Notamacropus eugenii: one gene and its partner. The protein of the gene in region 2 purifies or fractionates together with the protein of the main gene of each other region. This does not show direct contact. Links are inferred from orthologs where the notes say so. Each region holds a gene or a part of one and is shown on either strand. Other genes may lie near its edges. The genes, in order: NPHP4 and NPHP1.

Region 1 (7,225 bases), on a different chromosome or scaffold from region 2:
TGGACTCCTCCCAGCTTCTAGTAGGTGTTTAATAAATGATTCCTACTCTTTGACTTTCCCCAGGATGGGTTGGCTTATCCCAGTGCAGTTGCTGCCCACACCTTCTGCATCCAAAACTAGCTTGTATTAATTTTCTAAGTATTTCATATTTACTTATTGCATCCCCCAATGGAGTGTAAGCACTTTGAGAGAAGGAGCTAGCTTGTTTTTAGCACTGTATATCCAGTACCTTGAGCGTACCAGAAATGACTTGGTATTCATTTGTGCATACTTTGTATTTAATCTGTGTCCACTTTATTGCTTTCCTTCACTAGAGGGTGAGCTTCCTGAAGGCAGGTATCATTTCCATTTTTGGTTCTGCTCCCCCAGGGCCTGGCACAGTGAAGCTGCTAAATAAAGGCTTATTGGATGAGTAAAAGACATGGCATTTGAAGGTTGCTGAGGCTTCTGTCGAGGTTGCCTGGAGAGCTGAAAGGAGGAGAAAGCCTTGGCTGCTGTCAGCAGTGGAATCTCTGGTAATTACCCAAGCTATGTCCTTGCTTAGACAGCCAACCAAGCTGAAGACACACACCCTCTCCTGGGCAGTTGCTACAGCAGGTGAAGCAACAAACAGGGCTGTATGGAGAGACTTGCCTGCTCCCTGCCTCCAGGGTCAGGATGGAAGGTGCCAAATGAAAATCTGGTGCCAGAGCTGCCTTCTGAAATCCCTGGGTTTGAGAAGAGCTCTTTCAGTCCATCTCGTTCCAAATAGATGGACTCTGCCTCCAAAGAGTCTTCCCAGCTCCCAGTCACTTGCAACCGTTTGGCAATACGTCATGAGTTATAAGACCACAGGATCATAGACTTGGAATTGGAAGAAATCCTTACAGCCTATGTGGGCCAACACCCTCAGGTTGCAGATGGGTAAACTGAGGTCCAGAGAGGTTAAAGATCACCTAAATAGTAAACGACAGAGCAAGACCCCAGCCCTCTGACTCTAAATCTGCTCTTTCCATTATACCCTCATTTTCTCCTCTTGCCTTGAACATAGATGGGCTCAATAACTACTGGTTATTGAAAAGGGGAGATTAGGCACCATGTAAAAGGCATGTCTTGAGAGCAGCTAGGTGGTGCAGTGGATATAGTATTTACCCTGGAATCAGGAGGACCTGAATTCAATTTCCACCTAAGATTCTTACTAGCTATGTAATTTTGGGCAAGTTATCTAACCCTGACTGCCTCAAAAAGAAAGGAAGGAAGAAAGAAACACATATCTTGGTAAGACTGATATTGAGAGAGGAAAGTTTTACTGCTTTAAAAATATTCAGCATCCAGAGCTGGGAGGGCCTTTCAAAGCCATGTCTCTGGACAAAAACTGTTATTTTACAGATGAAGAAACCAAGTCTAAGTGATTTGCTCACAGTCACACCATAAGTTTCAAAGGCAGGACTTGACCCCCAGGTCTTCCTGACTCCAAGTCCAGTGCCCTACCCACTGCACCAGAAAAAGAAAGAAGTAGAAAGTCCTTAGAAGGAGAGAGGAATCTTTCTATACCATCCATTTCTCTTGTGTTACTTAGCTGCTTCTACACATGGTTGCTAAGCTTGCTCTTTAATCCAGAGCCAGGAATGATTCTCCAGTCAAGGGACTGAGCAACAGTGAAGCGCTCTGGGATCTGACAATCTGGGTTCAAATCCAGCCTGAGCCAACCTGTCTGACTTTAGGCAAGGCATTTCTTCTTTCTGGGCTATGGTATCTTCATTTGTAAACTGAGGGGATTAGATAAGAATGGTCTGTCTACAGTTCTATGGCTTCAGCTTGACTCTGAAACTATTCCAGCCTTGGACCAGGGCACAAGGAATAGTAAAGAGCATGTTTACATGGGATCAGAGATCTAGAGCTGGGAGGGACCTCAGAGGAAAAAAATGACAGAAACAAAAAGCCTACTTTACTGGCCAAACTTCACACATATTAAAGTGTACCAGATTGCATGAAAAAGTCACAGAAACCTGTCCAAGTGTTCTCCCCTAGTGAAGATGTATTTATTTATTTTCATTCATCCACCCATCCAATCTGGTAAAGCATAAGTAGCAAAAACCCATGAGTGTGAGAAGTTTGATCTTTGAATGGAACTCTTCCACCAAATCTGCATGGCTGCAGGCCTGAGCAGTGGAGGGCAATTACATCTGCTGTTTTATTCAAATGAGGCGACTAGAGCAAACTCTTGCAACATGCTTCATTTTGAATCCTACAGAAACAGCAGTATTATAGGGTGAGGCGAAGTTCTGCAGAGGGGCTACAACTCCAAACAGCTGGGAGGCCAGCTGTGGTCTGAACCAGCTTCTCTGGCTGCCCTGATAGATTAATTTTCATAAATGCTAATAGGTCATTTCCCTAGGGACTATTACTTTTGGCACCTCCCCTTGGATAGATTTCAACAGAAAGACAGAGAGCAGAAAGGAAAGGAGATGAAGAAGTCCAGCTGTGGACCAGAGTTTATCTATAGGACTCTGGCTTACTGGCTATTTGCTCCCCAAGAGCTCCCTCTGATTTGAGGGTTACACATCCCTGCTTCCTCCCCCACAGGCCAGATCCCCACAGTGCAGGGGAGCAGTTGCCAAACCCACAAAATGCTGAATCACAAAGCTGAGGCACAGAGGGGGAAGTGGGGGTGGGGGGTGGGGAAGAAAGAGAAGAGTTACTGATCCCCAGACAGTCCACCCGGAGCACGGCCAGGGGACCTGGCCAAAGGGTAACTCTCCCTTGGGGCTCCTGGGAGAAGCTGGAAGCGGGGAAAGGTGAGCCCCTGGGGGGAGTCCTATGTGGCCTGGCACCTCTGGAGAGGGATGCTCTGGCAGCAGCTGCAGGAGGAGGAAGTGGTAAAGCAGCCAGGCTACCAGTCTCACAGAGGAGCTGCAGCAGGAAGGCGGAGAGGGCACGCAGGCACCCTGATACTCCACGCCGGGCCCAGGATGGGGAGTGAGAGGGCAGAGGGAGGGGACGACGGGGCCGGAAGGGCTGGCGGTGATGGTCCGGAGCCTGCAAGAGATCACAGGCTGAGGGGAGGGGAGCATGGAAAAAAAGCAGCTTCAGAAGGGAAGGGGGGAGAGGCCAGAAAGGGGTGAGAAGATGAAAAGGATCCAAGAGAGGGAGGAAGGAACATGCGAGAGAAAAGAGAAAAGGGGCAAAGCAGAAGAAACAGACGGGGGGGCTGCGGATGAGCAGGAGGTGGGAAACTGGCAAAGGGAGGGGAGGAAAGGGACTGAGGACGGGGAGAAGGGGGGGATGGAGGTGGGGAGGGAAAGAGGGCGGGTGGGAATAGGAGACGGGGAAATAGAGGCAGAGGAGAGGGAGTCTTCTAGGCCGCCCAGCCTCCTCCGGTTACGATGAATTCACTGAGGCTCAGAGAGGGTGGTGACTCGCCCAAGGTCACACAGCTGACCCACCGCAAAGGTGGCACCTGAACCCAGTCCCGGGGGCTTCGGACCCGGGGCTCTTCCTCCGGACCACGCCGCCACGCTGGGGGCAGGGAAGGGGAAGGATGGGGACCCCTCGAAGCAGCATCCAGGCCGGGCCGGCAGCGCCCGCCCAGCCAGCCCCGCTCCCGCGGCGGACGGAGCGGAGCGCGCACCGCGCGGGCCCTGTCCCCCCTCGCCCCCGCCCTGTTCACCTGCGCTCGCTCACCTGGGGGGCTGCGGCTGCGGCTCCGGCTCCGGCTCTTATTCCTAACTCCGGCTTTTCCTTCCCGCCCTCTCCCGAGGCTGAGTTCAGAGCCTCCGAATCCCGCTCACCCAGGCAGGTTCCGCTCGCAGCATCTCCACCTCGTGGGACTCCCGAGGCCACGCCCTCTACCGATTCCCATTGGTTCTGACAGTCTCCCGTCACCCTCCCATTGGTCGTGAATCCGCCAGTCATGCAAATCAGGACCGGCCAATTGCCGCAACGACTAGGCGACACCCTCCCGGTCGGGCTTCGGCGGCCTGGACTCTGATTGGCCCATAAGGGCCGCGGCCCCTGATGACGGTGCTTGTGGGGGCGGGTCCTTGGCCTGGGACAACTCCGGCCTTCCTATTCCGCCCACGTTGGACCCGGTTGCCCGGTAGCGGGTAGAACCGGCAGCCTTCTCCTTAGGTCTCCGTACTGGTCCGGAAGACATGCAGCTCAGGTGGGCTCCACTCCCAGGTCGGCCGGGCCCCTTGTGGGGAGAGATCTCCCTTCTGAAAGGCGCTTCCTTCCTCCGCGGAGGTAGCGGTGGCCCGTCACCTCGGTAACCACGCCGGGTGGCGGGCGGAACCATTGAGCCCTGAGGGGGGGATGGGGCGGAAAGAGACGATGGGAGAGGCTTCCCGGAGGTCGGAGGGCTCGGGGTCCCACATAGGAGAGGTCTGCCAAGGCCATCTTGTGACGTCCAAGAGCCTGGCTGTGCCGGGAGAGCGAGGCGGAGGGCGAGATCTAGGTGGGAAGAGGGGTCGTCCCCCCGCGAGGACAGTTGGTTTGTCCCTCGGCGATCAGGCCCAGAGGGGCCCGCGGTGGCGACCCCGACTCCTGACCCGCGCCCTCTGACCTCAGCTGCTTGGTCCAGATCCCTCTCCCTCCTATTCCCGAGTCTCTTTATTGCTTATTTTGAGGCAAGCCGAGGAAGGGCTGGTCCGGGACGTCGGCTGGGCTTTTCTCCCCTTCCAGCCCCACCTTCTCCCCTCCCCGGTTTGTGCCTCGGGTGCTGGAGGGGTGCGCCCCTTCCACCCCGGTGCCCCCGGGGTCCATGCCCCCTGACCCCAGTCCCCCAGTCCCTCCTAGTCCCCCAGACCCCTAGTCCCCCCCCTTCCCAGTCCTTGCTCCCTTCTCCCCCCTGGCTTTCCCCCTTCTTCCTCCTAGCCCTCCCCCCGAGTTCCGAACGTCCCCTTCGCCTCTGCCCCGTCTTGTCTTCGCTTTTTTCTTTCCCCTCCCTTCACTCTTTCCTCCTCTTACTCCTTTTCACTTTACCCAAGTCCTCTTGCCTTGGGAATAACCTCCCCTCAGATCCTTCCCTTTCAAAATTTCCCCATCACTCAATTTCTCTCCTTCCTGCCCCTTTTTTAAATTTTTTACCTATTCCCAAATCCTTCCCTTTTGTGATCCCACTCCACTAAGCCGGGCTAGGGCAGGCGAACAACCCTCAGCCTTCCTTTCCTCCCACGAAAATTGTCTGAAGCAGCCTCACTTTCATCATCAAAATGTGGGGAAAAAAGGCCTTTGGGACGCTGAAAACTTACCTCCTTCCCCGAGGACTCTGCTTTTTGTTCACCTTTGGCCATGTTTCAGTTGTATTCTCATGCCAGCTTTGTTGCCCTAGAATACTATTGGCTTTTCCTCCATGGATTTCCTTATGTCATTTTCTTCTCATGGCCCATATATAGATATAGATATAGATATAGATATGTACATATCTATATCTATATCTATATATAGACACATCTGTATGTATATCTATATAGGCTGAGGGTGTGTGTGTGTGTGTGTGTGTGTGTGTGTGTGTGTGTGTACACACACACCCCTTTTTCCTCACCAGCTTGTCTTTCTATCAATCTCTATTTATATATCTCCTACCTTTTCCTTACTGGGCAACTACGTGGTGCGGTGGATAGAGCACCAGTGCAGGAGTCAGGAGGACCTGAGTTCAAATCTCACCTCAGACACTTGACACTCACTAGCGGTGTGACCTTGGGCAAGTCACTTAACCCCATTTGCCTCATCCTGGGTCATCTCCAGTCATCCTGATGAATCACTGAATTCTGATGGCTCTGGAGGAGAAGTGAGGCTGGTAACCTGCACAGCCTTCCCTCACTCAAAACAGTCAAGTGTGAGTCAGGTCATTATTTCTCTGATGGCATGGTCTTCTTTGGCAACAAAGGACGAACACACATACCTTTTCCTCACTAGTTTATTCAGAATGTGTTCAAACTCCTCCACTTGGAAAATTTTGACAATATTTCCCCATATTTCTTTCATTCTCTCATTCAATGATGGAACTGAATCCAACTAATATTAATTCAATTGAGTAAACATTTGTGAAGGGCCTACTGTGTGCCAGAGAGGAAAGGGGCAAGCATGTATTAAAGGCTAGCTATCCTCTAGGCACTATGCCAAGGGCTTTACTTGTATTATCTTACTTGAATCACACAACCACCTCATGAGGCCGAGGTACTGCGATCCACATTTCACATTTGAAAAAACTGAGGCAGAGGTTAAGTGGTTTGCCCAGGGGACAGGGTTCAAATTCAGGTCTTTCTGACACCAGGCCCCTCACCCTATCCACTGGGCCACCTAGCTGCCTTACTGTCATTTTCCCTGGGAACATAAAGGTGTAGAAGAAATTCAAGTTAGATTTATTAGTCCTTGATACCGGTTAAGATAGATGATTTTGTCCTTGAAAGAAAAATATTAAATACCAAATTGATCTTCAAGTTGCAGAAGATAAAATATATACTTGAGCTAATTAAAATATCTTTATGACATTGCTTTTGGCCCACCGTGCTCATGGTAAGCATAAGTAAACAGATAATCATAAAGATAATTACTACTTATTTGCCAGCATCTGTTACATAAAGAAGTGAGACTCAGTTAAGCCATATCATCCTGAGAGCATCTGTAGATGAAACTGGAAGGAGACCAACAAGTAAGTGTGAAAGGAAACAGATTTGCCAGCTTATCTACAGCTAACTATACTCGTCACTGAATAACGGTGTAATAGCCATGGTGTTTCATTCTTTTGCCTCAGGATCTGGTCTGCTATAAAGGGGAGTAGAAATAGCACTTAGGATAATAGTGGGAAGAAACCCTGGACTTGACCAAACACATGAAGAACTCAGTCTTGGGGGTGATGTAATTTTAAAGGCATTCAAGGTTTGACTTTCAGGCTTCTTCAGAGGGCAGAGGATTCCAAAAGAATGGAAATATCATAGATGGTTTTATTATTCAAGGTGACTGAGAAGACAGCAACAACCACCAACCAAATGCTCACTTTTTGATTTCTGTGAAATCTTTAAGGAAAATTATCTCTGGCAATATGGAAAGTATCCTTGTGGAAAACATGAGAAAGGAACAGGCAGTCCTTTAGAAGTGATTTTCTCCAAGACTATTTTCATAATCACTCAATTGAGAGATGTAGAGCACTCTGTGTGTAGTGATTAAAAAAGGTGGGGGTGGGGGGAGAAATATGACTCTGTAGGGTAAAATGTAGCCAAGACTCTCAGGATTCCTTGATAGA
Region 2 (7,576 bases):
ATCTCCCAGTAGAATGCCTGCTCCTTTATTTTGCCTTTTATCCCCAGTGCCTAGCATGTTACCCTGTACATATTAGGTGCCTAAAAAAATTCTTATTGGATTGACTGGACCCTGATGATTCACCTAATTCTAAAAAGTCGTCTTACTTCTGCTCCTGAAGTGCTTAATTTTAACTATAGCACTGTAGCTCTCATTCACTGTGAAATACTGTGCCTCCAAGAGTTTTTCCTGCTTTTAGAAGAGATAGAACAGAACTGGATATAATACAGATACCTTAATAAAGTTCTCACCTGTGATGGATTACAAAAGGATGAGTCAGTAGCAATATAATTTAATAACTGACCAGATGAAAAACCACACAAGCCTTCCACGGTAATGGGAGTTTAGCTGAAGAAAGATTTCAGAGTGTTGATGGGTGGTACAGTTGACCTCTTCTGTTCAGGGCAGTGTAGTGGCAAGAGCAGAGGAGAGGGAGTCTGGAGACCTGATTTTCATTCCTGGTTCTATTACAAACTAGATAAAAGGAATTGGCCCAGTCTTTTTCACTCTCTAAACCTTCTCAGAAAGGCATAAAATGAGCCACAGAGGATCATAAATTCAGAGCTGGAGATGTTAGAGGTCACTTAGTGGACCTCTTTCATTTTACAGATAATGAAACTGAGGCCAAGAGAGGTAAAGTGATTTGTGCAAGGTCACACAGGAAGTAATTGCCAAAGCCAGTATTCAAACCCAGACCCTGGCTCCAAATCCAGCACTCATCCTACTGCACCAAGGTTCTCTGGTACCCTGCAGTTCTAAAGTTGCATGGTTCTTTGATTGCAACCCTGTCTGCCTCAGGGATGCGTGGAAATCTCAGAGACACTGGTCTCCATCCTCTCTATTGCTATTGCCACCTTCGTTACCATCTTCATTAGAATGTCCTGTCTTCAGTGGAATATCTTTATTACCAACTTGGTAGATTACTGCAACAGTTCCTCACAAAAGATACTGAATCTCAAGGAAGATGTTGTTTCCCTGGAGAGTAAAAGGGAAGTTAGAAAGGGGGGAGGTTGGGGGAAAGATGATGAATTCAGTTTTGGACATGAGTCTAGTAGGCAGTTGAAGATGGGAGACTGGAGATTAGGAAATGCTAATTGCATACAGATGATTTGGATCTATGAAAGCCAATTAGATCATCAAGTAAAATAGGACAGAGGGAGAAGAGAAGAGAAGGGAAGGGAAGGGAAGGGAAGAGAAAAGAGAAGAAAAGAGAAGAGAAGAGAAGAGATGATAAGAGAAGAGATTAGAGCCCAAGAGAGAGCCTTGGGGGATGATGACAATTAGTAGACTCTATCTAGATGAACATTCAGCAAAATGTCTAACAAGTAGGAGGAGACTCAGGAGAAAGCAGTGTCATAGAAACTTTTCATAGAAAAGGAAATCCCCTTCTACCAACACAGGTCTGCATCTTATCTGTGTTACATGGTATCAGAGAATTGCCTAGAAAGGTTATGACTTGCCCAGAGTTAAGTAGCTACTAAGGCAACACTTGAACTAGATCTTCTTGACTTTGAGGCTACCTTTCCACCTAGTTTAACAAATGCTTGTTGAGTGGAATCCACCTTTCCTATAACTACCAAACAGATTTTATCCACAAATTTGATATCAGTCCTCTAAAACCCCACAAAACTTCCAAGGCTCCCTATTATCTACGTTGAGTAGCATTCAAAGCCCTCCAAAGTCTGGTTCGTTCATCCTCTTTACTACTCTGCCTTCTCACTAGATATAGTGCTGCCTTTGCCTCAGACTCTATTCACACCTACCCTTTTGGTTTGTTTAATTCCTACCAATCCTTTCCATGTCCAACTTAAACACCCCCTCTTCCATGAAATCTTCCAGGAAACTGCCACCCTCCTTTTCAATCAAACAACAAGTATTTATAGATTATCAAGTATGTGCTAAGACTGTGCTAGGCAAAGACAGAAGCCCAATGAACAAAACAATCCCTATTTGCAATGAGCTTACATTCTAATGGGGAAGACATTAGAACATATATATATATACACACACACATATATATGCAGCACATAATAGTTATATATACAGAATATATGTACATTTATATACAAATATTTACAATATATATTTAAATAAAATAAAAACAACCATACACAAAGTAATAAGATACAACCTCCATCTCAGGAGGGAGTCATGCTCACTTTCCACTCCACTCTGCCCCTGCACCTCCAGATTACTTCTCTGCCTTGCCACCCTGCTCCTTCCAGCTCCCTTTTTGTATCTTCTCCCATTAGAATACAAGCTCTTTGAGGTCAGGAACTGTATTTTTGTATTGCCAGCCTTAGCACACCTAGCATGGCCCCTGGTGCGATCTTAACAGACGCGTTTCCTATCTACAGGATAGTCTGGGAGGAAGGAGGCAGGAAGGGTCTTCTGCAGAAGTCAGTGACTGCTCTGCATCTTAAAAGAATAAAGGGACGGGGTGGAGCAGAGCAAGGTGGGAGTACATTCCAAACCAGTGCAAACATAGGGAGACAGGAGAAGGAGCAGTATGTATGGGGAAGAGAGAGAAGGCCGATTTGGGGGAACGCAGACCGCAGCGGGCATTCCAGCCCGCATGGGCTCCAGCTCGCACTTGGCCCGGCATCACGATGGAGTGCGGCCAGCTCAAAGGCAAGGGGAGACCGGACTCCAGGGGCTGGAAGCCTCCTGGAGCGAGCGAGTGAGGGATGAAGGGGCGGGGGAGAGGAGGGCGGCCGGGGGGTCCCGGGGTCCCCAGGCCTGTGTATGCCCCAGGCACCGGGTCGGCGGGGCCGGGGAGGACGAGGCGGGAGCCCGGGTCCGGGGAGCCTCGCTACCTGTTGTCGGAGGTCCTGGCTGCGGCGCTGCACCGCCTGCAGGGGCCCGCGGCCCCTCCAGCTCAGCATCCCCGCCGAGGCCGCGTCCCGGGGGCTCCCGGAGGCTTGGTGCCCGTAGTCAAGGAGACCGACGTGGCGGCGGCGGCCGGCGGTGACGCATCACAACGCGCGTGCGCAGAGGCCCAGCCCCAAGAAAAGATCCGTCCGAAGCCGCCGCCCCCCGAAAGCCTCCCCCCCACCAACCCCAGAGTCTACCGGGCTCGGACACGGCGCTGCCTGTTAATGAGCACATGCCAATAACCCTCCGAACTACATGTCCCAGAATGCAATGGCAATGCAGCGTTCCACCGGGACTTTTAGAAAGTGTCCCGCCGCCCGGAGGCCTAGGAAGAGGCGGGACCAGGGAGGTACCGCGGGACCTGCGGGCGTTCGTGCCTTAACGGCTCGCAGAACGTCTTCATTAAGCGCATCCCCCTCGGGGGGGAGCAAGGAGATGTTCCGGGGAGCCCGTTCGGACTCCGAGCTAACTTTGCTTAGTAAATGGCGCGCGAGCTGCCGAGTAAGTGCTCCTTAGGGGCGGGGTAACGCTGGGCACGTCCCTAAGGCCGGGGTTCTCGAGTTAGGCCGGCATGGCTGGAAATGGCATTTGTACCGCCTTCGGCGCTGCGCACGTGCTGCCGAGGGAAGCTAGAGGAGGCTGGGAAGCCGAGCTGATCGGGTGTACTGCCCGGCGTCCGCCCGCCCCGAGGCGGTCCTCCCCGCACCAGCCGCGGCTTCTCCAGACCGTGAATCCTTTCTCAAACCTCGCAGCGTGGCCTCTCCCGCAGAACCTTGCTTCTTATTTTACTGAAAGGTCCCCCGCTCCCCTCCTCACCTCACCTCACCCCACCCAGGGGCCTTCTCCCACCGCTATCCCTTTATCCCTACTCAAATGGGGCAGCCCTTCTTGCCAAGGTAAGCCCCTTTACATGCATTAGCGATCGCATTCCATCCCATCTTTTTCAGCTGATTGCCCCCTTCTATCATCCCAACTGTCTCACCGATCTTCGGTCGTTTCCTGTTGTCTCCCACATGCCGGTGTCTCCCACATCCTCAAAAAAGCCTTCACTTGACCCATCCGTCCCTGCTAGCTGTCATCCTGTATCTCTCCTCTTCTTGGTGCCAACTTCCTTGAGAAGACTTAATAGCTGCTTCCCCTTCCTTTCTTCTCACACTTTTCTTAACTCCCTATAATCTGGCTTTTGACGTCATCATTCAACTGAAATTGCTTTTTCCAAAGTTAATAATGATTTCTTAATTATCAAATCTAATGGACTTTTTTCAGTCCTTGTCTTTTTTGACCTGAGACCTTTGACACTGCCAAAACCTCTCTTCTCCTTTATACTCTCTTCTCCCTAGGTTTCCCTGACTCCTGGTTTCTCCTCCTACCTGACTTCTCCATCTCCTTTGCTGGATCTTCATCTTAAGTCACTGGGGCTAAAGGTGGATGTCCCATAGGGCTCTGGCCTGAAGTCTCTCCTCTTCATCCTCTATACTATTTCACTTGGTGATCATATTAGCTCCTAAGGATTGAGTGATCATGTGCAGGGAAACACCGTCTTCCCAGTCACGCAGGCTCACAATCTAAGTGTTCTCCTCATCCCCTTACTCTTTCACCTCCTATATAGTCTGTTCTCAAGGCCTATATGTTTTACCCTCCTATCTTTCCTTTACTGTACTCATCCAAAAAAGCTGGTGAGGTCCAAACTGTAGTACAATGTCCATGTTGACCCATCTGTATTTTTATTTTCCATGTGTACTACTGCCCAATTTTGCTACCTGATCAATAACACCTTGCATTTCCTTTCACCAACACTGAATTCCAGCTCCCTTCTACACTAACCACTTTAACGGTGGTTGACAGTGATCTATACATATCTATATGGACATGGGTGTTTGCTGAGGGTCTGTCTAGAATTCCCTTCTCCCTTCTCATCTGGCTTGGTGACCTCATCAACTCCCATAGTTCCAACCATTATTCCTATGCAGATGATTCCCAGAACTATGTATGCAGCTCCAACCTCCTTTCTAAGTTCTAGTCTTGTCACTAACTGCCTATTGGGTATTCTGAACTAGATGTTCCAGACAGCTCAGACTCAACATGTACAACACAGAACTTATCTCCTCTACCTCCTCTTCCCAATTTCCCTATTACTACTATCAGTGCCTGAAATAAACGTTCACCCTCCTCACCTCCAACATTAAAGTTTCCCTGACTTCCTTCAAGCTTCAACTCCGGTGGCCTTTCCTAAACTCTTCATACCTCCCCCATCAGTGCCTCCTGAGATTACCTTTCTACTGTTGTTCATGTGTCTGATTCTTCATGACTCCAAGAATTACTTTCTCCATGGGGAAAACTCCATGGAAGATACTGCAGTAGTTTGCCATTTCCTTCTCCAGTGGATTTTGTGTGTGAGAGAGCTCTCCACTATGACCCAGGTAACTGCATGGAATTTTCATTGAGCTATGCAAGCCCCTGTCAACACAAGGCAGTGATCGAGGACAGGCTCTTTTAGAAAAATGGGTTGAGTGACTAGTCAAGGGTCACACAGCTTGTAGTATCTGAGACTGGATTTGAACTCGTCTTTCTGGATCAGCATTCTGTCCTCTTTGTTCTCTCTTTAAATACTAACCATATCTTAGTAATTTGTATGTTGTCTCCATTAGAACATGAGCTCAGGCAGAGTAGAAACATTTTGTGACTTAGTAGGCCATCTGGAATTGCTATGGCCAAATTATTTGGCCTTGAAGACAGGGATGAACTTCTTAACAAATCTAGGTTGTTCATTGGACGATGACAATCAAGCCCATCACCAGGCCTATATCTGAAGGCTTTCCAGTTTGGTAGGACCTTAGGGGGAGGGAAGGTAAAGAAATAGAATGATATAGAATGCTATAATTAGCAGAGCAGGGGGAATCAAAGAGGAAAAGAGATTTACTAAGGGTAGAAGCTCATAAGAACAGACATAAAGAGGCAGCCCAGGACAGAATTTAGAGTTCCAAAGAGTATATTACTATGGTGGTGTGAGTCTAGCACATCTCAGTTTCACGGGGTGAAGAAATAAGCTGATTGTCTTTACAGGACAAAGGGTGTGGAGGACAAGGAAGGAAGAGGTCTTGGATAGAGATAAAGATTCAAGCTCTTTTTCTGGTTGATGCAAAAGTATAAGATTTCAACAATAAAATACTTCACTCGAAATATAAGATGAAACAAGAAAGATGATTAAATGAAAATAAGGAAGAAAAAACTGGACATAAAAACTTCCATTTCCCTATTCTGTAGTTAAAAGCTATACTGAAGCAATCTTTGCAAATTTGCAGATGGCAAAAATAACAAGTCAGTAATAGAGGGCCTACTGGAAGATAGGAATATTAATAAATTGTTGTTAGACCACTGAACTGGTCTAACCATTATGGAAAACAATTTGAAAGTATGCAAGAAAAAGTGATTAAAATGTCTTTTTATCCACAGATACCACTGCTGGGCACCTCAGGCAAGGAGGTCAGACAGAAATACCATAAATATCAAAATATTTGTTGCTACTACAAAAAGTGGGCTAAGAACTACAAACAAGGTGGATGCCCATCAACTGGGAAATTGCTAAATGACTGTTGAATATAAATGTAATGGAATATTTTTGCATTAAAAAAAACAAAACAAACCAAAAGAAAGAACAGTTCTGAGAAACACGAAGATATAAGGTGCTGATGCACTGTGAAGTGGAACCAAGAAAACAATATACACAACCATCATGTAAACTAAAAAGAACAAAGCAAAACATTGCATGTAATTACATGTATGTAATTCCAGTGAACAAGTGTGGCCCTGAAGAAAAGATGAGGAAATGCTCTTTGCTGAGTGTTAAACATTTGTGTGTTTTTGCTGAACTTTTTGTCAAAAGAGAAACTGGGGGAGGAGAAGTATATTTGGATATGACTGTAATATAAAAATAAAAGCCATCAATTAAACTTTTATAATATATATTCAAGTAGACAAATAATTTGCATACATATCATGAAGGGAAAGATTCCTTAAAATAGCACAGATAACCTTGTTCAATAACCTTCTGATTAGCTCAGTTTTCTTCTGTGGAGGTAGAGTGGTATTACTTACTGTTAGTATAATCAAGGGCACTTTTTTCCCTTTAAAAAAACTGTAGTACCTTGGAACTGGCAAATTAAATCAAGAACAGATTACAAAACTCATAGTCAATATTGAATTACTTTAACTCACAGCTTTACAAATTTTTTCACAAACAAGATTCTTGCCAATAACAATACTGTTATAGGTACATTTTGTACTTCTTTGGAATCTTCTCAGAAATTCAAACACACATCTTACACACATCATCTCACTTATTTTCAGAAAGTCCTTGTGAGCAAAATGGCATGTTCAGGTAAAACCATCATCACCAGATGAAATAACCTGATTCTTCTGATCTTCAGTCCTACAAAACTATTCAGTGAATAAGGATATTCAACATTATTTTCTCCTTTTAAAAAAGGAGATTGAAAAGGTATCCAACTTTTTTAATTGTAAAGATAAAAATCCATCGATAAGCTGCAGGAAGAAATAGTTTCTGTCCAATTCTTTACGTCCATCTTCAAGAAGCTGTTAAAAACAGAAATAAACAATTAGTTACATATAACTATTAAATTAATACTTTCCATTAAAACACTTT

What was found.
Region 1: the proteins of NPHP1 (region 2) and NPHP4 purify together in Homo sapiens (co-immunoprecipitation; 6 studies listed by BioGRID and IntAct, with this or other methods). This does not show direct contact. The link is inferred for Notamacropus eugenii from reciprocal best matches to the Homo sapiens genes NPHP1 and NPHP4.

What each region holds. Positions count from the first base shown.
Region 1 is NC_092876.1:44,038,524-44,045,748, reverse strand, and holds the start of NPHP4 (nephrocystin-4), read left to right. Parts: upstream 1-4,018; 5' UTR 4,019-4,144; intron 4,145-7,225. UniProt on the Homo sapiens protein: Involved in the organization of apical junctions; the function is proposed to implicate a NPHP1-4-8 module. Does not seem to be strictly required for ciliogenesis. Required for building functional cilia.
Region 2 is NC_092872.1:605,542,271-605,549,846, reverse strand, and holds the start of NPHP1 (nephrocystin-1), read right to left. Parts: upstream 3,083-7,576; 5' UTR 2,925-3,082; coding exon 2,856-2,924; intron 1-2,855. UniProt on the Homo sapiens protein: Together with BCAR1 it may play a role in the control of epithelial cell polarity. Involved in the organization of apical junctions in kidney cells together with NPHP4 and RPGRIP1L/NPHP8. Does not seem to be strictly required for ciliogenesis.